Pelodiscus sinensis: one gene and its partner. The protein of the gene in region 1 purifies or fractionates together with the protein of each later gene. This does not show direct contact. Links are inferred from orthologs where the notes say so. Each region holds a gene or a part of one and is shown on either strand. Other genes may lie near its edges.

What was found.
Region 2: the proteins of ANKRD44 (region 1) and PPP6C purify together in Homo sapiens (affinity purification with mass spectrometry; 5 studies listed by BioGRID and IntAct, counting the BioPlex papers as one, with this or other methods). This does not show direct contact. The link is inferred for Pelodiscus sinensis from reciprocal best matches to the Homo sapiens genes ANKRD44 and PPP6C.

What each region holds. Positions count from the first base shown.
Region 1 is NC_134717.1:71,359,837-71,371,946, reverse strand, and holds the start of ANKRD44 (serine/threonine-protein phosphatase 6 regulatory ankyrin repeat subunit B), read left to right. Parts: upstream 1-7,052; 5' UTR 7,053-7,234; coding exon 7,235-7,276; intron 7,277-12,110. UniProt on the Homo sapiens protein: Putative regulatory subunit of protein phosphatase 6 (PP6) that may be involved in the recognition of phosphoprotein substrates.
Region 2 is NC_134732.1:25,002,468-25,015,163, reverse strand, and holds the start of PPP6C (serine/threonine-protein phosphatase 6 catalytic subunit), read left to right. Parts: upstream 1-7,175; 5' UTR 7,176-7,235; coding exon 7,236-7,310; intron 7,311-7,348; exon of another isoform or gene 7,349-7,551; intron 7,552-9,834; coding exon 9,835-9,930; intron 9,931-10,600; coding exon 10,601-10,666; intron 10,667-11,481; coding exon 11,482-11,623; intron 11,624-12,696. Other genes in the region: RABEPK (rab9 effector protein with kelch motifs), read right to left, coding at 837-989, 1,865-2,022, 2,379-2,437.

The DNA of each region.
Region 1 (12,110 bases):
TGATGCTGAGGTCTGGCTGGCAATATAGGTATCCAGCTGCAGCAGCTGAGGGTTTAAAAACCACCATAACTGTCCTCCTGCAGCAGGGGCTACTAATAGAGACCGAAAGTCTGTGCAACTCCCCAATTTGGCCAGTACTTAAGGCTGATCAGAAGACTCGGCGCCTGATGGTTGATTATAGGGAGCTCAATCAAGTGACACCTAGGTTGGCTCCCGTGGTGGCTAAATACAATGAGATAATGGCAGCCATCTCAGTAGGGGCCAAGTGCTACTCAGTGCTGGACCTATTGAATGCCTTTTCAGCATCCCATTGCATCCTTCCGTGATGCACAAGTTTGTGTTCACATTTGAAGGGAGACAGCTTACATTTACTAGAGTTTCCCAAGGCTTCCACAATGCCCCCTCCATATGCCATCATCATGTCTCGGCAGTGTGGAAGACCTTGAGGAACCGGGAAAGCATCCTACGCTATGTGGACAACATACTGATGGCCACTTCCACCAGAGAAGAGAACATAGAGGTCTTGGAGGAGGTTCTTGAGAAACTTGAGAGCAGTGGGTTTTTGATAAATCCAACAAAAGCCCAACTAGTCAAGGATACGATGACGTACCTGGGAGTCCGATTGAGCCCAGAGGTGAGGAGGCCAACAGATCAACAGCGGGTGGAACTGATATGCAAACTGCCAGTCCCTCGTGATGTGTTGGCTCTCCGCTCCTTCCTCGGTCTCACTGGATTTTCCAGGGAACTCATCGATAAATATGCAGAAAAGGCGAGACCACTATATCAGTTACTTAGGATGGGGCAAGAGTGTCAATGGAAAGAAAACCACCAGCAGGTTTTTTGTGACCTAGGGAGGCTTTAGCATCTGCACCAGCTTTAGCCTATCCTAGGCCCAAGTAACCCTTTTATCTGCAGCTAGGAACCTCCGGCCAGGGAATCAGCGCAGTTCTATTGCAAAATCAGGGAACTGGGCTGCAGCCTATGGCATATGGTTCCAGGGTGAGACACAGTTCAGTGCATGCAAATGGGAGGTGCTCACCCTAATTTGGGCACTTGGCCATTGGGAATACCTGGTGGGGATTTCCCCTGTGATCCTTTGGTAAGTCCTCCCTGGCCAGGTGAATGAGGGTCGAGTATCTTCCCCTAGACTGGCTAGCTGTACTCTCAGCCTTCTTAACTGAGACATCACAGTACAAAAATCACCGTAACTAAGTGTACTGCCTTCTGCACTCCTGATGGAGGACCAGGAACACAAATGTCCGCTCCCAGTCCCAGGTCTGGTCTTGGCATCGCCTTTCCAGTTGGAACCGAGCTCTGGTAGAGCCAAGGAACACGGATTGGATGGCAGCTGCTATTCCAGGGGGGTCACCTCAAGACAGGGTATGCTGCTTTCCAGACTTCCACTCAGCGAGTGCTGCAGGGGACAGTGAGATCCCATTTGGCACAAGCTGCCGAGTTGGTGACAATAGTAGCAAGCACATCTGCATTTGCTCTGACTCAGAATGGGGAGTGAGAGCACTTACTTCCTGGATGCCAGTCTGGAAGCAGCAGAGCATGAGGTCAGCCGATGGGAAACCCATTAAATATGTTGTGTACTTACATCATGCCTGGGAATTGGCCTCCGACTGTGAGGGGGAGACCTTCCTGTGTAAGGTGAAGGCCCATCAAAAAGATTCCGCCGAGGCTTCCAGACTGAACCATCGGGCAGATATATTAGCAAAGGAGGCAGCACTTTGGGGAGAAGAGTTACTGTGGACTCTGACCCTGTCGCTCCTGGTGATGAGAGTCCAACCTGCACTTAATCTAGACACTCAGGTGAACATCAAGGAGCTGCAGAAAAAGGATTTAAGCATACAGGGCTCACTGGAAAGGAAGGAATGCAAGGGCTATGAAATCTTTAAGGACAAAAATGGTCTGGTTCTGGCCTAAAAGAAAAATTTGGAAGAGGCTTTTCCGGTCCTGATGCTTCCATCGTGTCTCCAAAAGGAGATGGTGACCCTGGCTCACCAACAGGGTCACTTTGGGCCAGAAAAGACTGCAGACAGAGTCCTCTGGGTGGCTTGGTGGCCAGAACTAACAAAGGACATAGCCTTGCATATCCATTCCTGTTTAAGTTGCACAGAAATCAACGCTGACAGCTGTGTTGTAAAAGGCCCACTACGCCACCACCTTGCAGAAGGACCTTGGTGTCGACTGCAGGTCGACTGCATTGGTCCCCTCCCTAACACATGTAGAGGCAAAAAGTTCTGTCTATTAGTGGTCGATGCCTTTACGAAATGGGTGGAGGCATACCCCACTCATAATTGTAGTGCTGCCATTACTGCCAGAGTCCTTTTGAACAAAACCTTTGCCAGGTTCGATCTCCCTCAGGTTATCGACTCAGATCAAGGACCACATTTTGAGGGTGAGGTGACCAACACCCTTTGCCAAGCCCTGGGAATCAGGCAGAGATTCCATGTGGCTGGTCATCCTCAGAGCTCCGGTCTTGTTGAGAGAACAAACTGGACTCTTAAGACGGCTCTGAGAAAGATCATATGTCACCAAGGCAAGGATTGGGACCTCAAACTCTCACTGGTCCTAATGGCGGTCAGATCAACTGTGGCGAGTCATGGCTTCATATCCCATGAGGTCATGACTGATAGAGCTATGAGGATACCTGACAAATATCAGCCTCGATTAGCAACAGACATATATGAACAAGATCTTAACTGATATTAGTGCCATCCAGTTCCAAATGGCCGTGCAGTTAAAATCAAATACAGGAGAGATGGATAAGAGGTTAGAACATGTAAGGCTGATAGAGTGGGAGGTCGGGGACCAAGTGCTATATAAATATTTCTCAGACCAAGGCCATGCACTCAGCCCATGGTGGGTAGGACCTGTCTGCATAGTTAACAAGGTTAGCCCTTGCATGTATCAGTTGGAAATACCTCTTAAGAAAGGAAAAAAAAATCTTAAATGGTTCCATTCTAGTCAGCTAAATGTCTGGAAGGGCGACGACAATCCCAATCATTAATCTGTGTCTTTCCTGTGTTTGTGCCGTGGGAGCATCATCAACACCATCTCATCAATCAGCATCTATTAAGTTTGTGTTATTTGTAAATAGTTATGTATTTTCCTGTATAGAAATCTTTGTTAATAATGGGAACCACTTCTTCTGTACCATGGAGGGGATAGAAGGTATACCTTCAGGCTGTGTCTAGACGGGCAAGTTTTTCCGCAAAAGCGGCTGCTTTTGCGGAAAAACTTGCCAGCTGTCTACACTGGCCGCTTGATTTTGCGCAAAAGCATTGACTTTCTACTGTCTGAAATCAGTGCTTCTTGCGCAAATACTCTGCTGCTCCCGTTAGGGCAAAAGCCCTTTTCCGGAAATGTTTTTGCGCAAGAGGGCCAGTGTAGACAGCTAAAAACTGTTTTGCGCAAAAAAGCCCCAATGGCGAAAATGGCGACCGGGGCTTTCTTGCACAAAACCGCGTCTAGTGCTTTTGCAGAAAAGTGTCCGTGCCAATCTAGATGCTCTTTTCCGCAAATGCTTTTAACGGAAAACTTTTCCGTTAAAAGCATTTGCGGAAAATCATGCCAGTCTAGACGTAGCCATATAGTTTGTACGATCATGTGGAGCCGGTGCACCTGGGGGCCAATCTAAGCATATTGCGTCAATTGGTACAGCATCCTGAGTTAAAAATGCATATTCAGCAGCTTGTGGAAAGGGGACAAGATGTGATGTTGAGAGTCCACCATTCCACTGAGCAAATTGAAAGAATTTTAAAAAGGCTTCTCCAGGCCTCCAGATACACACACTAGTGGGAGTTTCTATTTGTCAGCCCCACCGAAATCAGCAACCCATGGTATCTATTGATACCCTTTTGTTATAATTTTGTTTGTTCCATTTCTGTTGATAGTGGGTATAAGTGTAACCATTAGATGGATAAGGGTAAGGATTTGAAGGCTGGAGAATTGTAACCTAATATCATCCTGTAATAGGATGCCAGCATCAAATCTCTTGAGAGAGAGTTTCTTGCCGGCAAGGAGGGGAATGTAGGGTTAAAATTCTCTGAAATGCCATCTTGGGCACAGCCGCCATTTTGAGAGCCTAAACAACAACAGGGACTCCATTTTGGCCACCCTTCCCCTTCCTCCTTTTCCTGCCCTTTCTGTGTTCTGGTGGGAAATCCAGTAGACATATGATCATAATCTGCCCAGTAACAGCAGGTTACTTAAGGGCTGCCTCTGGCTTTGGAGTGCAGGAGTCATTCAGACGGGTATGCCAGGTCCACGCATAGTAGGCTTAGGGTTGTGGAAGGTACACTCGCATGCAAGGAGTGACATCCATCGTCACCCCTCTCTGGTCAGGACACACTTGCACCCACGACGGCACAGGGAGAAAGGGGTTTGTTAGGCCAAACAGATCCGGCCACAGGAGGATCCAACTGTTCCGATCCTGCTGTTCCAGATGTCTAAGATTGAATCTGGAATCCAGGCGCTGCCGTGAGGGTCCCGAGCTGCGAGACATGGTATTGTCCCGTGATATTCCTCCAGGTATTTGGGTCCCTACCTTAAGTCGCAGTCGAGACTGTTTTGTTCCATTTCCTGTGGTGGGGTCCTATCTTTTTCCTGGTTATAGTTATATTTACCTTGTTTACTGTTTAATAAATCCTTGTTAGTTTACCTCTACTGTCTGTCCTAGTCCTTGGGGAAGTCCTAATAACTCCCAATCATAGAATCATAGAATAATAGGACTGGAAGGGACCTCGAGAGGTCATCGAGTCCAGCCCCCCACCCTCAAGGCAGGACCAAGCTCCGTCTACACCATCCCTGACAGATGTCTATCTAACCTGTTCTTAAATATCTCCAGAGAGGGAGATTCCACCACATCCCTTGGCAATTTATTCCAATATTTGACCACCCTGACAGTTAGGAATTTTTTCCTAATGTCCAATCTAAACCTCCCCTGCTGCACTTTAAGCCCATTACTCCTTGTCCTGTCCTCAGAAACCAAGAGGAACAAATTTTCTCCTTCCTCCTTGTGACACCCTTTTAGATATTTGAAAACCGCTATCATGTCCCCCCTTAATCTTCTTTTTTCCAAACTAAACAAGCCCAGTTCATGAAGCCTGGCTTCATAGGTCATGTTCTCTAAACCTTTAATCATTCTTGTCGCTCTTCTCTGTACCCTTTCCAATTTCTCCACATCTTTCTTGAAATGTGGCGCCCAGAACTGGACACAGTACTCCAACTGAGGCCTAACTAGTGCAGAGTAGAGCGGCAGAATGACTTCACGAGTTTTGCTTACAACACACCTGTTGATACAACCTAGAATCATATTTGCTTTTTTTGCAACAGCATCACACTGTTGACTCATATTCAACTTGTGGTCCACTATGACCCCTAGATCCCTTTCCGCCATGCTCCTTCCTAGACAGTCGCTTCCCATCTTGTATGTATGGAACTGATTGTTCCTTCCTAAGTGGAGCACTTTGCATTTCTCTTTATTAAACCTCATCCTGTTTACCTCTGACCATTTCTCTAACTTGCTAAGGTCATTTTGAATTATGTCCCTCTCCTCCAAAGAAGTTGCAACCCCACCCAGTTTGGTATCATCTGCAAACTTAATAAGCGTACTCTCGATCCCAATATCTACATCATTGATGAAGATATTGAACAGTACGGGTCCCAAAACAGACCCTTGAGGAACTCCACTTGTTATCCCTTTCCAGCAGGATTTAGAACCGTTAACAACAACTCTCTGACTACGGTTACAATGATAGATGTGGGTTTGAGGATGGGCCTGAAAGCTAATTTAGTTTGAGATCACTAGTTCTCTGGCTAACAGGAGAGGGTTCAGCGGAAGGTGACCAAAATGATTAGGGGACTGGAGCATGTGACTTACAAGAAGAGACTGAGGGATTTGGGTTTATTTAGTCTGCAGAAGGGAAGAGTGAGGGAGTATTTGATAGCAGCCTTCAACTACCTGAAGAAGGGCTCCAGAGACGATAGAGAAAGGCTGTTCTCAGTGGTGGCAGATGACAAAGAGGAGCAGTGGTCTCAAGTTGCAGTGGAGCAAGTCTAGGTCTGCAGCAGGCTGAAGTGTACAAACACTGGAAAGCCAGAGTTGTCAGCCTTTAGATGAGTTCGACACATTTTCCTAGGGGTCTAGAAGAAACCAGGGCTGGGCCAAACTCCCTGATTATATTCATTCATTAATAAAATGTCTCCCATCCTTTCATTCTAAACACGGCTTTGTATGAGCAAAGTCTTCTCTGGGGCCATCTCCTGCCTTCACATCCCCGCTAGCGATGTTAGATATTGTGTAATTGAATAGCCGTGTAACTGTAGGAAATCTTAGCAGTTACTTGACTATTCTATAGTGCCCGGGGATGGGGCCAGCAGCCACTCTGCTCCCAGTCTCCGTCCTGAGGAGCCCCTTGCCACCTTATGCTGCTGCCTCAGTCCTTAAGGGTAGGGTGGGGGTCCAAGCTCCCCCGGGGACAGAGGTTCCTGCTGCAAAGCAGCTGCTGCATCCCCTGTTTCACCCACCAGGGGGGAGAGGCAAGCAGCACTGGGGAGCTGGTGCTAGGAAGATGTTTTTCCCTCAGCACCGGCTTCTGCCTGCCCCTGTAGGAGGCAGCAAGGTGGGCTATGTGGGAGCTGGTATGTGTGGAGGTATCTTGGCTCCAGCCTGCCCCTTGCCCTTCTCTATCAGAGGCAGATCAGGAAGCCCGATTTCAAGCTAGCTCCTCCTGGGCACCCACTCCCCCTGCATCTCGTACAGCAGCAGCAAGGGAGGGGAAACTAGATCCACCCAGTTGTGTAGCCGCCCACACAACGACATCCCTGATCCCCACCACACCTCCCCCCCCCCCCTCCTGGTTCCTTCTCCATCCTGCTTTCTTCTCGCCCCCCCCAGGAGAGCGCGGAGCAGCCGGGAAGCTGCGGGGCTGCTGAAGGCAGCGAGTGGAAGAGGCCGGGGAGGAAACACGCAGCTGTGAGAGGAACAAAGAGAATCCTGGCGGGGGGAGGCGGAGCCCAGATGTGAGCAGCGGCAGGAGCAGCGCTGGTGTTTTCCCCGTGCGGGGCGGGGAAGGAGGCGGCCGTGTCCGTGCCCAGCGCTCCCTGGGCGGGGTGATGTCAGTGGGGCTCGGCGTGTGCAGCCAGGACTTCCCGCAGCAGGCCGGCTCGGGGAGCCGCAGGCGCCTCTGCTCCGCCGCGCTCCCCTCTCCGGGCTGCAAGCTGCATGTGCCGCGGCAGGATGGCCGTGCTCAAACTCACCGAGCAGGTAGGAGCCGGGACCCCCGGGCTGGAGGAGGAGGCGGCGCCGGGGTGGGGAAGAAGCGCAGCAGCGGCGCTTTGCAGGCTCCGGGCTCAGCGCAGAACCGCTCGGGCTTGGTGGCGCCCCGCGCCTGCGGCTCTGCCCCGGGAGGAGCCAGGCGAATCCTGTGCTGCGTGGGAAATGCCCCGAAGAAAGGCGCTGCGTGGGGGTGCCCAGAGCAGAGGCTTTGTCACGGAGCCAGCCTGCGGGAGCGCACCCTTCCTCCGCAGCGCTGGGCTCCACTCCGGCGCCGCCTCGCTCTGTTTTTATTTCAGTGTTTACATTGGATCTGAGCAAGTGGGTCTGGCCCACGAAAGCTCCTCACCTAAGAAACCATCTTGTTAGTCTTTAAAGTGCTCCATGGTCCTGCATTTTATTTCAGTGGCGTGGCTCAAGGTAGAGGTCAGTGCCAAGCCCAGAGCAGAGGCAGATTCGGAAGCCGAGGCAGAAGGGTGACTTTTAAATGGACTAGCTGCATTTCCTCCTCCATCTAACGAATGGATTAATTATTGAGTTGTTGGAGTTAGTGGTGTAGGTTGCCTCTTCCTCCATACGCGCATCACACTTTGCAGCTGTGCGCGTGGTTGTTAATTGGCTGTTCAAACGCTGTCAGATTCCTAGTCACTTTTTAATCAGGATAATACAACCTCTCAAGTAGGTTTCCTTATACAAGGTTGTTTCAGAGGGAAAACACAACAAGTGTTTTTTTTTTTTAAGCCATTTAGGTGGTTTAACCAGTGATAGACCTCTTTTTGCATTCCTTGTTTGGACACCCCAAACTCCCACCGAAGTCAGCTGAAATGCAGCATCAGATTTGAAAGCCACAAGCTTGCTCCTGTGAATCCAAGTTGAAATCCGGGGGGGACTCTATGTTCCTTTCCCACAAAGAATAGTTAGCAGAACTGGGGCCTATGTTTGTTACTTAGGTGAACCTAGGGTTCTATATGGAAAAGCGTTTGTTGTTCATTTATTTTTTGAAAATGTTACTCATTGCTAAGTTAGAGTTGATATATTGTCCAACTTTCAAGTCAAACTTGCCATTTTATAATTCTCAGAGTTGAGAGACAGGATAAAAATGGATATTGGCTATTTTTGAAAGGTCTCTAAGGTCTATTAACATTCTTTTAGGAATTCGGTGCTGTTTATTACTGTGATACATGGTAATTATTTTTCTAGTAGGCCTTTATGTTTAAAGAGTGCATTTTTGGTTTGGTTGCCATGATTGTTTGCAAGTTATTAGAAAATTGCAATATTCATCTGTCAGCTTATGTTAAAATGTTCACTTTAATAAAAGAGCAGCTATAATTTGTATTAAATTACTTTTTACCATTGATATATTTAGTAAAGTCATATTACGGTTCCCACAGCCTAATTTATCAATATATATTGTACCAACTGTTGCACATTTGCTTGTCTTAATCAGCTATTTTTAGTTTAACTTGGTCTCCTATAATCAGCAGTTACAGGCCCTTATTAAAATACCCCACCCTCACAAGCATACAGACATAAGTGTTTAACTATCTCCCTTGCTCATTTTATTTATGTATTTTGAGATAAATCTTCCACTAAAAATCCTGCCCCTGGCATTTGCCTTACAATTAACACAGATTTTTGAAAGGAAAAGAAACCCAAGCTACTTGTATAATAAAATTCACTAAATATTGGAAGATGACTGTATGAATGCATTTCCATAATTTAACAGAAGGCTAAATCTCCTGCAGAACCGAAAGTCTCCTGGCATGTCCCTTGATACACACACATCTTTGGATGTGGTGCTTACTGCAAATGAAGACAATGTTCCACACCGGGAGACTTAATTTTGCCCCATAGTGCAGAGAACAAGTCTCATAAATCAGAAGATTTGGGTGAAATCTGTAAATTGAAAGTATACGCTGCAGCATAATATTAAAAGTATTTGCACTATAGTTGGTACAGGTCATGTAGCATTTCTGTGCTTTATGCCTAAGCCTGAAATTATGTGTTTCATGAGGCTCTTGGAATTAAACCCCTAAAGGTTTAGCAATGGTTTTAAAGACGCCTCAACAAGGATCTTACTACATCACTGCTAGTAGAGCACAAAACAGTGGTTTGAGCCAAGTGAATTGCGTCTTGTGAAGTTTATATTGCAACAGAGAGAGCTGAGAAGTAGTGTGAACTTTTTTTATTGAATTAATTTCCCCTCTTCTTTCCCTCCCACACCTCTAACATTCCCCAGAGCTGATAGGTGAGATTTATCAGAACTGGCACGGTGACTTTGCAGTATGCCTTCTCATGGCAGCACGCTCTAAATACTCTCCAGTGCCAGTGGCATGATTCATCTGCTGTGTGGCTTCCGGGCATAGTATGGAGGCAGTGCTTCTTATGTTGGGGAGACCTCCTCCTGGTCATAGAGGTATCCATGCTCCTCCTGCTGGCACTCTGTGGCGTTTGGTGCAGCTGATCACCAGATATTCCTGTCTCCCTTGCATGAGGTTGCTGGAGAGAACAGGAGTGTCTCAAAATGGCGTAGAGTCTTTTTTTCTCTTTTTATTTAAGACTGATCTTAGGAAGTTGTTCTGAGCCATTAGTTCTTCATATCTAAAGCCCACCAAGGCTCATCCTTTCCCCCCATGTTATTCGGTATCTGTAACACAGCCAGCGGGAGGCTTTGCATGACAACACAACCTGAAGTGCCAGTAGCACGCAGAGGGTTGCCAGGCGCTAAATCCTCCTTTGCATCAAATATAAGCAGCACCTTGTCACAGTTTTCTCTGTGCCTACCAGGAAGCAGTACCTGGGAGAAGAGCAGTTAGCTAAAGTTGAATTATGGTAAGACTGAGGCAATGCTGGTAGGAAGAATGATGCACTTTGAAGTACTTACATCTTTATAACTTCTCCACTGCCTACTGTATGTGTCTTTGGATTTAGTTGGTCCACAGGCTATATTACTCTGGGTGTCCAGATAGCCATGACAGCAAAGCACACCAACTTTCATGGCACTCTGACTCCTGCATTTGTGATCTTCAGTGTTGATCTGATTGTGACAACTTGTTATATTTAGTAAGAAGCCCCACACCCTGTGGCAGCTGCAACGGATACAAAATACAGCAGCTTGTCTGTTTAGCAGCACAGGACAGTCACCTCAGCATGCTGCTCTCTGCGCATGCATGTAAAATCTGGATCAGGGTTTCCATGGCATGGGATTGCTTCCGTCTGCCTGAGAGACGTCTTCTCCCAACTCCCCCCATAAGTTTAACTTTCACTAACAAATGCCTTCCACTGGGATAATGAAACTGTGGACCCACAGGGTTTGAGAATGCGGGGGATAGTATACCTCCTCCTCTGTTACAGTTTTATGGTACTTAGCAGCAAAAGATGAAAGAAGTTGGGATAAGTAGTAAACATAAGTCTGATTCCAGTGACTTAGGTTTTCCTTGTTTTCTTCACATGTGCCTCTACTTGCTCTTGCCCTCTCACACATAGCAAGCAAACAAAGCAGGCAAACAAAAATCATCATAAACAAATGAATTTATTTTTCATACCGGGTCAGAAAAAAGGAAGAGATGGTTATTGCTGTTTTAAGATACTTGAGAAGTGCTAGGTCACTGTTGTGGTGGAACCAGAGAGTAGGTATACTTTATAAGCTGTCTTGATGGTATTTCTTAGGCAAGAAAGCTTAGTTTAAGACTACATCCTATCTGTTTCTGGTCAAACAAGTTACATGAGCTACTTTCTCACTAATGTCAATTGATAGATGGTCAGCTGGACCACATGGTAGCTTTTTAATCATTTGAACCAAAGGAAACGTGTTCAACCCTCATTCACTTGTGAAATCAATTCTTGTGTATCTATATTCCTTCTGTTCCTCACCCCCCATTTCAAAAATCGAATATGAATGAGTGATCAAAGTCGTCAGCTTAAATAAAATGAACAACCCCTGAACGTGATTAGACACTTAAGATTTCCACTTTGTTGACATTTCTGTATGAAGCAGTATTGAGTGACAGTGCTACTTACAGCCTTTCATATCGGTTCTAGATAATCCACTTGTTATATATGCAGTTTGTTTCCCCTACAGTGTGTGCCAATTCCAACAGGCCTGGTAACTCGAAGTGCCTTTAGACCTACAAATGAAAAGTGACATTTCAGCACAAAGTGGCTCTGCTTTTTATCCTCCTTTCTTTCCCCATGCAGTTTAAGGTCTGACCATTTAGCTTAGTATTTTATATTCAATGCAGCTGTGGCTATATGTAATAAGAGAATATGCACAGGAACTAAAGTTGAACATGAATGAAAAACTAATGTTTTGATAACTGGGTAGTCCTACACATTCAAACATGGGCTCTGTTCACCCAACTCAAATCAAGACGTGTGTGTGTGTGTAGGTAGGGGCTTAGGATATCCAATCAGATGGGTGGTTTTGGGGTGTTGTTCCCCCCCCCCACTCTCTCCAGGTTTCCAATATGCTATTTTTCTCCTTTTTCCCCTTGTGCCATAGCTATCACAAGAAGAATATGTTCCTGGGCTAGCTCTCTCCTGTGAGCTGGTCTTTTAACCAGGTTACTTGAACTACACAGTAGTTCTATCTGCCTGAGTGTCACTTCTGTTCTGTCACCCACGTCTCCTGAAGAGCAGTCCTAGTATTAATTACTCCCTGTCATACTTAACAAGTCTGTTTCTGTATAACTTTTTATTTTATTGGAGGAAGTTTGTTTATTTGTGAAAGTGATGGAGATGGAATGTAAATCTTCACCCGGAGACCTCTGTGGTAGAAACACTGGTGACCGTTACTGGGAGTGGTCCACTGAGAATGTGAAGCCCT
Region 2 (12,696 bases), on another chromosome or scaffold:
TTATTAAGCACAAACCACAGTGATGAGCAAAAGTCAAGCATGGCAAAAAATGGCTTTTGGGAAATGAGGGAAAAAATCCAAGTTGCAAATGAAAGGTCAATTTGTTGCACGTGCCTAATTCAGGTTTGTTTACAGCACCTGACAAAATGCTATATCCCATCTACATAACCACAACTGACTTTGTGGAATGTATTTATACACTGAAATCAAGCATGGCTGCTGGGACTTCCCACTAATCCTAGAAAGCTTTTGTATTTATTCCACACCTTGATATTTGTACAGTGAATCTTTATCATTGCACAAGTCGAGACGTGTAGTGGAAGGCAACAGACAGGCTGAAAACAGGCACACAAAGCCATAGAAAAGGGAGAGGAATTTTAGTTAACTCCAGGGCAAACACCTCCAAGACTCTTTAATACCCATGCAGAGCAGACCACGCTATATCGCACTCAAATGACCTACATTAAACTGCATGGTGGGCTGAGCTGCCTCTGGCAGGACTCACTTGTTTGACACAAGAATGCTCCTGCTGGCATCAGGTAGGGGATTTGTTGCTGTGAAGCACTAAGAACAGTGCATTGCCTGCAGCAAGGAACCCAAGGGGAACACAGCACTTTCAGAAAATCATAGGTTTGATCCTAGCTAGTCTTTAAAACTTCTAGGAAGAAATAAAGAAAATCAGCAGCCTGTAAATACAGCTTTTGAAGTTGTAACCTGGACATTGCAAACGTAACCAGGTAATTCAAACAGTTTCTCAGGTGGATAACAAGTGCATGTGCAACAATCCAACAAAGAAAGAGAAGACTGGAGATGGGTGGATTCTACCACACACTCACCTAGATTCAGCACTTGAATGCAGTTTCTATTTCCAGACTGGTCAGCCCCTCCAAACACCCAGAGGCTAGTGGGGCTGCTAGTGGGAATGAAGGTGGCATGTTCGTATCGAGGCAACAGGCCCATCCAACCAGGCATTGACCATTGGTGTCTATCTGAAATGGAGGGAATTACAGAGCTCCATTTACAACACTGATGTTTACAGTAATGCTGCCGCCCCGCCCCGGGCTCCGCATGTAAACATGTAACCACTACAAAATTCAGTAGTTACACGTTTGCCAAAATAAACACAATTTAATCTCCCTATTGAGTATGGAGACTGAAACTTGAAAGAGTCCCCATAAATACACCCCAGCATACAAACACGTGACAGAATATCTTTCATCATTATGTTTCCTAGCTCACCTCTCTCATCCCCCAACTAAATGACTGTGGCTGTCCATAGCTCAGATCACAGACATGAGATTCAAGTCCAGAAAATGCAGACTTGAAACTTTATTCCCTTCTAGGCTCCGATCCTTCAGTTACATCCACAACCATATGCAGACCCATGCAACAGCAGGATTGAGCCCTTCATCCATCTGGAGAGGATGTAACACTTAAGGCTTGGTCTACATAGAACTATATCACTTGGGTGTGAAAAACCCACATCCCCAAGCAATGTAGTTATGCTGACTTTCACCTCCAGTGGGGATAGTGTTATGTTGGGGGAGGAGAATGTCTCCCATCCCACCAACACAGCTACCATAGAGGGTGAAGTTACTAACCTAACAGGAAAGCGTTCTCCTGCCAGATGAGACTGATAATCGTCACCAGATACAGTGCAGCTGTAAGTTTGTTGTGTGGATCTGCTGGAATTAACCGTGTTACTGCTTCTAGGCCTAATCACAGCTTTTGTTATCCCACTGAAGTGTTTTCATGGATCTGATCCATTCTTCCTCAAACACAGCAAGGATAGAACAGACGTTTTGGTTTCCAAGGACAGACAGCATAATAGGCAACAAAACTGCTGAATGCTTCCTGCTCTTACCCAGATCTATGATGTGGGCATCAGAGAAACTGCCACTGGGGTCTGCTCCCCCAACAATGACCACTTGGCCTTTCCCAGCAGTTGGGGCTGAAGGCAAATATAAGCAGTTATGGCCAACGCGTGCATTAGGCCTTTCTCCTTGAGGGACAAGCTTGTACCTAGAACAGGGAAACACAGGCATGAGAATCAGGCCTGGAGTGCACAAAGTAGTTTGGGGAGGAAAGGACAGGGATATTTGTAGTGCAATCAATACACAAGTGCTGTGCTGGAGAAGGGTGTGAACCACTCCTGGACCAGGGGAATGAGGGGAAAAGTGAGTTTAGAATACAGTCCCCACACTCTGATCTGAACCCATAGGCTCATCAAAAATGCTAGGAGGAGGATGGGTTATCAGGGTTTAATGGGGGAATCTGACCCACAGACTCCAGTGAGATAACTGGGGTCATAACGCAATAACAAACGACAGTAATGGGAGAGGCTGAGGAGAAATGGGAAAATGCTCAGATGTACTGACCACGTGCCCCTTTGGGGAACATCTCCAGGCTCCAGAATTGGCAAGGCCTTCGGCCTCATGGGTCTTGAGCAAAGGAAGCAAAGCCAGAGTCACATTAAAACCCTCTGGGGCCTGCAGGAAATCTCCCCCCCCCCGATCCCCCCCCCTTGCGGGCAGGGGAATCGCCCCCCCGATTTCCCCCCCCCCCGTGCGGGCAGGGGAATCGCCCCCCCAATTTCCCCCCCCCAGTGCGGGCAGGGGAATCGCCCCCCCCGATTCCCCCCCCAGTGCGGGCAGGGGAATCGCCCCCCCCGATCCCCCCCCCAGTGCGGGCAGGGGAATCTGCCCCCCCGATCCCCCCGCCAGTGCGGGCAGGGGAATCTGCCCCCCCCGATCCCCCCCCCAGTGCGGGCAGGGGAATCGGCCCCCCCGATCCCCCCGCCAGTGCGGGCAGGGGAATCTGCCCCCCCGATCCCCCCCCAGTGCGGGCAGGGGAATCGCCCCCCCCGATTCCCCCCCCCAGGGCGGGCAGGGGAATCTGCCCCCCCCGATTCCCCCCCAGTGCGGGCAGGGGAATCTGCCCCCCCCGATCCCCCCCCCAGTGCGGGCAGGGGAATCTGCCCCCCCGATCCCCCCGCCAGTGCGGGCAGGGGAATCTGCCCCCCCGATCCCCCCCCCCAGTGCGGGCAGGGGAATCTGCCCCCCCGATCCCCCCGCCAGTGCGGGCAGGGGAATCTGCCCCCCCGATCCCCCCCCAGTGCGGGCAGGGGAATCTGCGCCCCCATCCCCCCCCAGTGCGGGCAGGGGAATCTGCGCCCCCATCCCCCCCCAGTGCGGGCAGGGGAATCTGTCCCCCCCCGATCCCCCCCCCCCAGTGCGGGCAGGGGAATCTGTCCCCCCCATCTCCCCCCAGTGCGGGCAGGGGAATCTGCCCCCCCGATTCCCCCCCCAGTGCGGGCAGGGCAATCTGCCCCCCCCATCTCCCCCCAGTGCGGGCAGGGGAATCTGCCCCCCCATCTCCCCCCAGTGCGGGCAGGGGAATCTGCCCCCCCCCGATCCCCTCCCAGTGCAGGCAGGGGAATCTGCCCCCCCATCCCCCCCCAGTGCGGGCAGGGGAATCTGTCCCCCCCCGATCCCCCCCCCAGTGCGGGCAGGGGAATCTGCCCCCCCGATCCCCCCGCCAGTGCGGGCAGGGGAATCTGCCCCCCCCGATCCCCCCCCCAGTGCGGGCAGGGGAATCGGCCCCCCCGATCCCCCCGCCAGTGCGGGCAGGGGAATCTGCCCCCCCGATCCCCCCCCAGTGCGGGCAGGGGAATCGCCCCCCCCGATTCCCCCCCCAGGGCGGGCAGGGGAATCTGCCCCCCCCGATTCCCCCCCAGTGCGGGCAGGGGAATCTGCCCCCCCCGATTCCCCCCCAGTGCGGGCAGGGGAATCTGCCCCCCCCGATCCCCCCCCCAGTGCGGGCAGGGGAATCTGCCCCCCCGATCCCCCCGCCAGTGCGGGCAGGGGAATCTGCCCCCCCGATCCCCCCCCCAGTGCGGGCAGGGGAATCTGCCCCCCCGATCCCCCCGCCAGTGCGGGCAGGGGAATCTGCGCCCCCATCCCCCCCCAGTGCGGGCAGGGGAATCTGCGCCCCCATCCCCCCCCAGTGCGGGCAGGGGAATCTGTCCCCCCCCGATCCCCCCCCCCAGTGCGGGCAGGGGAATCTGTCCCCCCCATCTCCCCCCAGTGCGGGCAGGGGAATCTGCCCCCCCGATTCCCCCCCCAGTGCGGGCAGGGGAATCTGCCCCCCCCATCTCCCCCCAGTGCGGGCAGGGGAATCTGCCCCCCCATCTCCCCCCAGTGCGGGCAGGGGAATCTGCCCCCCCCCGATCCCCTCCCAGTGCAGGCAGGGGAATCTGCCCCCCCATCCCCCCCCAGTGCGGGCAGGGGAATCTGTCCCCCCCCGATCCCCCCCCAGTGCGGGCAGGGGAATCTCCCCCCCCCATCTCCCCCCAGTGCGGGCAGGGGAATCTGCCCCCCCCGATCCCCTCCCAGTGCGGGCAGGGGAATCTGCCCCCCCCGATCCCCCCCCAGTGCGGGCAGGGGAATCTGTCCCCCCCCATCCCCCCCCCCAGTGCGGGCAGGGGAATCTGTCCCCCCCCATCCCCCCCCCGTGCGGGCAGGGGAATCTGCCCCCCCCGATCCCCCCCCAGTGCGGGCAGGGGAATCTGCCCCCCCGATCCCCCCCCAGTGCGGGCAGGGGAATCTGCGCCCCCATCCCCCCCAGTGCGGGCAGGGGAATCTGTCCCCCCCCGATCCCCCCCCCCAGTGCGGGCAGGGGAATCTGTCCCCCCCCGATCCCCCCCCCAGTGCGGGCAGGGGAATCTGTCCCCCCCATCTCCCCCCAGTGCGGGCAGGGGAATCTGCCCCCCCGATCCCCTCCCAGTGCAGGCAGGGGAATCTGCCCCCCCATCCCCCCCCAGTGCGGGCAGGGGAATCTGTCCCCCCCGATCCCCCCCCAGTGCGGGCAGGGGAATCTGCCCCCCCCGATCCCCCCCCAGTGCGGGCAGGGGAATCTGCCCCCCCCATCTCCCCCCAGTGCGGGCAGGGGAATCTGCCCCCCCATCTCCCCCCAGTGCGGGCAGGGGAATCTGCCCCCCCATCTCCCCCCAGTGCGGGCAGGGGAATCTGCCCCCCCCGATCCCCCCCCAGTGCGGGCAGGGGAATCTGCCCCCCCCCGATCCCCCCCCAGTGCGGGCAGGGGAATCTGTCCCCCCCCATCCCCCCCCCCAGTGCGGGCAGGGGAATCTGCCCCCCCCGATCCCCCCTCCAGTGCGGGCAGGGGAATCTGCCCCCCCCGATCCCCCCCCAGTGCGGGCAGGGGAATCTGCCCCCCCGATCCCCTCCCAGTGCGGGCAGGGGAATCTGCCCCCCCATCCCCCCCCAGTGCGGGCAGGGGAATCTGTCCCCCCCCGATCCCCCCCCAGTGCGGGCAGGGGAATCTGTCCCCCCCCATCCCCCCCCCCAGTGCGGGCAGGGGAATCTGCCCCCCCCGATCCCCCCCCCCAGTGCGGGCAGGGGAATCTGCCCCCCCCGATCCCCCCCCCCAGTGCGGGCAGGGGAATCTGCCCCCCCCGATCCCCCCCCCCAGTGCGGGCAGGGGAATCTGCCCCCCCCAGTGCGGGCAGGGGAATCTGCCCCCCCCGATCCCCCCCCAGTGCGGGCAGGGGAATCTGCCCCCCCGATCCCCCCCCAGTGCGGGCAGGGGAATCTGCCCCCCCCGATCCCCTCCCAGTGCGGGCAGGGGAATCTGCCCCCCCCCGATCCCCTCCCAGTGCGGGCAGGGGAATCTGCCCCCCCCGATCCCCCCCCCAGTGCGGGCAGGGGAATCTGCCCCCCCCGATCCCCCCCCCAGTGCGGGCAGGGGAATCTGCCCCCCCATCCCCCCCCAGTGCGGGCAGGGGAATCTGCCCCCCCCGATCCCCCCCCAGTGCGGGCAGGGGAATCTGCCCCCCCCGATCCCCCCCCAGTGCGGGCAGGGGAATCTGCCCCCCGATCCCCCCCAGTGCGGGCAGGGGAATCTGCCCCCCCCGATCCCCCCCCAGTGCGGGCAGGGGAATCTGCCCCCCCCGATCCCCCCCCCAGTGCGGGCAGGGGAATCTGCGCCCCCATCCCCCCCAGTGCGGGCAGGGGAATCTGTCCCCCCCCGATCCCCCCCCCCAGTGCGGGCAGGGGAATCTGCCCCCCCCATCCCCCCCCCAGTGCGGGCAGGGGAATCTGCCCCCCCCATCCCCCCCCCAGTGCGGGCAGGGGAATCTGCCCCCCCCCCGATCCTCCCCCCAGTGCGGGCAGGGGAATCTGCCCCACCCGATCCCCCCCCAGTGCGGGCAGGGGAATCTGCCCCCCCCATCCCCCCCCCCAGTGCGGGCAGGGGAATCTGCCCCCCCCCGATCCCCCCCCAGTGCGGGCAGGGGAATCTGCCCCCCCCATCCCCCCCCCAGTGCGGGCAGGGGAATCTGCCCCCCCCCCGATCCTCCCCCCAGTGCGGGCAGGGGAATCTGCCCCCCCCCCATCCCCCCCCCAGTGCGGGCAGGGGAATCTGCCCCCCCCCATCCCCCCCCCAGTGCGGGCAGGGGAATCTGCCCCCCCCCGATCCTCCCCCCAGTGCGGGCAGGGGAATCTGCCCCCCCCCATCCCCCCCCCAGTGCGGGCAGGGGAATCTGCCCCCCCCCCGATCCTCCCCCCAGTGCGGGCAGGGGAATCTGCCCCCCCCCATCCCCCCCCCAGTGCGGGCAGGGGAATCTGCCCCCCCCCGATCCTCCCCCCAGTGCGGGCAGGGGAATCCGCCCCCCCCGATCCCCCCCCAGTGCGGGCAGGGGAATCCGCCCCCCCCGATCCCCCCCCCAGTGCGGGCAGGGGAATCCGCCCCCCCCCGATCCCCCCCCAGTGCGGGCAGGGGAATCGCCCCCCCCCGGCGGGCGCTGCGCAGGCGGAGGAGCGGCCGCCTGGATCGGCCCCGGCCCGTTGGGCCCCCCCGGCCCGGCCCCCCCGCTCACCGCCGCGGGGCGGGGAACCCGGAGCCGCTTCACAGCGCCGCCCCGCCCCCCGCGCGGCCAGCGCGCTGCCCGGCATGCCCCGCGGCTCCCGGCATGCTTTGCGCCGCGCGCCAGGGGCTGAGGCAGAGCGCGCGGGGCGCGGAGGCGAAGGCACCTGCCCGCTGGAAGGCTGTGGGGGCGGGGCGCTTCCGCTTCTGGCCCCCGGGTCGCTCAGGCTGACCGACTTCCGGCCTCCCGCCCCGGAAGTGCCCCTCGTTTCCGGCCCGTCGCCGCGGTAGTGGGGCTCGGCCGCCCCCGGAAGTCGCCGGCTCCCGTTTCCGGCCCCGGCTGCTCGGCTAAGATGGCGCCTCTGGACCTGGATAAGTACGTTGAGATCGCGCGGCTCTGCAAGTACCTGCCCGAGAACGACCTCAAGGTGAGCGCGGGCGGGGCCCCGCGGGCTGCGGGAGGCGCCTCCCCGGCCGGCCTGCCCCGGGCAGCAACGCGCTGGCCCCGCCCTGGAGAGAGACCGGCAGCTCCCCAGGGTGCAAGGAAGCGGGGCCGGCGGGGAGCCCGAGCGGACGGGGGCTCTTCAGCTTGGGAACGCGCTGCGGGACCCCGAGTCTGCACCGCCAGACTGACAGCGGAGCCCCCAGGGAAGCGTCACTTACTCCCAGGCAAGAACCAGCGGCCACCACAGGAACTGATAGGCAGCAGGTTTAAGACAAAAGGGAGTATTTTTATACACAACCTGTGGAACTCCTTGCCAGAGGGTGTTGTGCAGGCGAAGGTGATAATGGTTCAAAGTTTAGGAGGACAGGTCCATCAATGGCTGTTAGCCAGGGTAGTCAGGAATGGTGCCCTTAGCCTCTGTTTGCCAGAAGCTGGGAATGAACAACAGGAGATGGATTGTTCAATGATTATGAGTAAACTTAACAAATAGTCTTGCAGCACTTTATAGACTAACAAAACCTGTAGATGGTATCATGAGCTTTTGTGGGCACAACCCACTTTTTCAGATGATTATGTTACTGTCTGTTCCCACTGAATTCACCTGGCCACTGGCTGTAGTCAGAAGATGTGATAGTGGGCTAAATGAACCTTTGGTTTGACCCAGTAGGGCTGTTATTATGGTAAAAGACAGTAGTTTTTGTTCTGCAGATGCTTTTTTTTTTCTTCAGATCTGGGAAAAATACTCAGAGGGCTACTAAAATCTCTACAATGGGATAGCTGCACTATTGCAGCTATGCAACTGTAGTACCTCTGGTGAGGATACTGTGATGTTAATGGGAGAGGTGGCATAATAAAACCACACTGGTGCTTACAAGAGCTTCAGGGGGTAGCTGAGTTAGTCTGTTACAGAAAAAAACAACAAATGGTCTGGTAGCACTTTATAGGCTAACACAACATGTTGATGGGATCATGAGCTTTCGTGGGCACAGCCCACTTCTTCAGATGACTGGAGTTATGAGTAGGGGATATGAAAACTTGAAATAAATAGGAGGGGGGGAGAAAAAAAGAAAAAGGGAAGGGTGTGTGACACAGAGCATCATTAAGTATCTGGAGAATGGGTACTTAAACCTAAGTACATCTTACAGTGTAACTTATATCACATGTTGTTCATACCCCCAGCGACACAAATTATACCAACACCAGTGGTAATGCCTACAAGCCCACAGTGTCACAGTTAACAAGTAGGTGGGAACAGCTTGTTTAACATAAGTAGTAGATAAACACTGCGGGAGACCATTAAAAGTGAACTGATCCATTAATCATTGTATATTGAGAGTCCTGCAAAAATAAGTATGCGGTACTCTTTCCCTCTACGAGTTAGTGGAGTCAGCATGCCTGAATGTGTGAGGGGGATTCTTTTCTTTTTTGTACATCATCAGTGGAATTGTTTTCTAAGTTTTAGTGAGCTATACCTGTGAACCACCTGTGAAGAACATGGCACTGTTCATGGGGTTGCACAGGCGTAAGTGAGACTTTAGTTATTGATCGGTGAGTGAGCAGGAAAGAATCCAGTTTGAGTCTCTGATCTCAGGATGAGTTTTAGGTTTTGCAGTTTTGCAGATGGAAATTAACTTTTTTCCTTGTTAGCTGAGCATATCTAATACAGAAACCATTGATAAAATAAACATGAAATAAAGTGGCAATCTGACTTTCAAATTTTAGAGCAAAACTGCAATTTAATATAGCATTTAAATAACCTAAGATGCACTCATTCTGTGAACTGTTGCTCTATTCATTGAGACACACTTAATTTTAAAAAAATGTTTAGCTAGTAACGGATTTTCTTACATATTTATTATCATCCCAAGCAGTGTTCCCTGTATGATGTGCATGTGCATCTGCTCAGGGGTGATTAATATGTTGCCCAGCTGACTAGCAGAGCGCTCATGCCTAGGTTTTGTTTCTATCAGTGGTGCACATTAAGATTGTAAGAGTGTATGTGTTTTAACAGGTAATCCAAATGACTGCACATAGCTCCCAGTCTGGATTCTGGGGAGCTGCTTGCTGCCCTGCACTGCTGCCTCTATCAGAGACAGCAGCATAGGGTGGTGGGGGGAACAGGTATGCGCAGGGAGCGGCTTAAGTCAACTCCCAGAGAGCCACCTACCACCCTATGCTGCCTCCTGGCGCGCTGGCTGCTGCCCTGTGTGTAACCACTGAACATTTCAGTGGTTACACATGTCAATTACATGTGCTGTGCACTAAGGGATGTTAAATTTGCACATGCCTGGGAGCCCATACAAATTTTATTCTGCACATTAATGAAAAAAATCCACACATAGATAGAAAAAATTAGAGGGAACATTGATCCCAATTCATTTGATCATGATCATGGTGTCTAGAGACTTGAATACATTCTAAAGCAAATAATTTATAAATCTGTTATTTCTTGATATTACAATGCACAAAAACCTCAGCCTGATCAGTGTAAACTTCTTTTTCTGTAGCGCTTATGTGATTATGTGTGTGACCTGCTGCTTGAAGAGTCAAATGTACAGCCAGTATCTACGCCAGTTACAGTTTGTGGAGACATACATGGACAGGTAAAGTGGCGCAACTGCTTGCATGTTATATTCCTAGAGAAGAGCAGTCTGTCACTTGCAAACATTTTTAGAAAGGTAGATGGTGAGGAGTATTTTAAATATGTGGTTGGGGAAGCAGAACTAACTACTGAACGTTCAATAATTTGCAATATTCTGTGTGCACTGCTTTTGCACAGTGGAAGGAAAACCTACTGTTTATAATTTTCCCGTAGTGTACTTTTGGGAGGCCAACCTCACAGAATAAGAAGAGCTGCAGAACGATCCTCACTTTCAGTGATCATCTGTGAACTGCTGTTACTTAGACTGCAGTTGCTGAACTATTCAGTGCTAATAGGGACCTCGTCCCAGGAGGAGGGAACTCCCATTTGAAGCTGATGCATGTTTATGCAAAGGGGTTGCAGGATTGAATCCAGGATTAGCACAGTGTGCAGCTGCTCTCTTAATTTGGCAGTTAATGTGGATTTTTAACACCAGGAGGATGAATGGGAAATATGTCCCTTCAGCCCATAATTGTACAGTGGAACTTGTTTAGACCTATTTTTATCTTTTTTTTTTTAAAATAAAGATTATTTCTGCCTAAACCTAGGTACATTCCAATTAATTGTACTAATACACTCTTAGCTAACAATGATAACAGAAGCCTTAATGTTTAAACCTTTTTTTCCCCCAGTTTTATGACTTGTGTGAACTGTTCAGAACTGGAGGTCAGGTTCCTGACACAAACTACATATTTATGGTATGTACATATTGGATGTTGGTCATTCAAAAAAGTGTAAGGAAAGCACCTGTACAATTACACCGATTAAAAACAAAACCCTCAACTTTCTTTTGGTTTTTGTTTTTAGTAGGGATGTCACCAGTTAACCAGCAAGCATCACCCTTACTGAGTGTGTCTTACTGGTTAACTGGTGGCCAGGCCCACCACACCCTGGGCAGGGGCCTTTCCAGCCTCATCAGAGCAGCTCGTACTGTGGAAAGCTGGGCCCTGCCATGCTGCGAGCAAGGCTGCTGCTCCAGCCCAACCGTGGGATCCCGTTTAACCAGTTAAATGTAATGTTTAACCAGTTAACTGATTAACCAGGATTTTACATTGCTAGTTTTCAGTTTCCATTTTTAACTCTCTAGCATGTAAACTTCTTTTCACTCCCAAATTTACTCTTCCACTTGGCTAATGTGTGTGGCTTTTATTTTGTCCATTAAAATTTGAAATAGGTAATGCTGGTTCACACAAAAGGAAATACATTTTTTTTTAAAGCCTACTATCTAAAAGCTCTAGCTTACATTGGCAGTAGAGGGAAAGTTAAATATGAGGAGCTAAAAAGAACACCCTGAAACATTTCTTGGATGAATGGGAACATAAGAATCACAAAAACAATGGTTAATTTTTTTAAAATGTAAAATTTCAGATATCCAGTTAAACATTTCTTTAAGATGTTCTCAGAATTTTTTAGCAATGGTGCTTTATGGGCGTCTGCAAATTAAAGAATTATAAATAGAGATACTACTGTTTGCACTCCTGAAACTATTCTTCCATATATTTTAAATTTTCAGGGTGACTTTGTAGACAGAGGTTACTATAGTCTGGAGACTTTCACCTACCTTCTTGCACTAAAAGCTAAATGGCCTGATCGTATCACACTCTTGCGAGGGAATCATGAGAGCAGGCAGATAACACAAGTATATGGATTTTATGGTAAGTCGTTATAAACGGTTGCTGAGCTGTGGTTAATGTCACAAAAATGCAGTGAGCTCATTCTGTCCTTTCTTTGGGCAATTTTAATTGTGAATACAAAGCATACGCAATTAAGAGGCCAAGTGGATTGAGAAATAGGATTAATCAGAACTGTACGCCAATCTGAATTTATACACTGCCAAATAGTAAAAGAACATTCCCCGTTCTATGCTACAGTAATTGCAGTCTTGAAATGGACTGTGCTCTAATTTGGATGGAATTCTAGTTCTCTCTCTGGGTACGTCTAGACTACAAGCCTCTTTCGAAAGAATCTTTTGAAAAAGCTTTTTTGGAAAGAGATAGTCTAGACAGCCACAACTTTTTCGAAAAAGCCCTGTTTGCAGCCAAGAACGCCTTTTTTCGAAAGAGCTCTTTCGAAAAAAGGCGTTCTTCCTTGTAAAATGAGGTTTACCGCTGTCAAAAAAAGCCACGTTCTTTCGATTTAATTTCGAAAGAACGTGGTGGCAGTCTAGACGCAGGTGAAGATTTTTCTAAAAAAAGGCCACTTTAAAAAAACAAACAAACAAAACCCTGTAGTTTAGACATAGCGTCTGACACTGACTTGCAGTATAACCTTTGTGCCTCAAATTTCTTATCTGTGAAATTTGTATAAGGGGCTTGATATGGGAGTTGAGCTTTTACTATTTGAAGTCCTTTTGTATTTTCTGATGAGAAGTGCTGTAGAAGAACAAAATATTGAGAATTTGCTGTTTGGCTCGTAATAAATTTTAATTCTAATCCTATCAGTTTGGTAACAAAGATGGCTTATCTGGTAAGTCACGACTGGTGCAGTAGATGTGACAATAGTATTGAATGAACATGTGATTAGTATTGGGCAGTAGTGCAGACAATATAAATTGAGTGAGTTTACCTGAAAACTTAATTGTAGTTCCAAAGCTTTGACAAGACCTGAGGAATCCTCCAAAATCCAATACGTGCCCCAAGTAATATGTAATCACAAATGGATTTGCTTCTGAGGAGAAATGGGTATTCATTTTAATCCGTTATGTCTAAGGAATCCTTCCTTGCTAGGT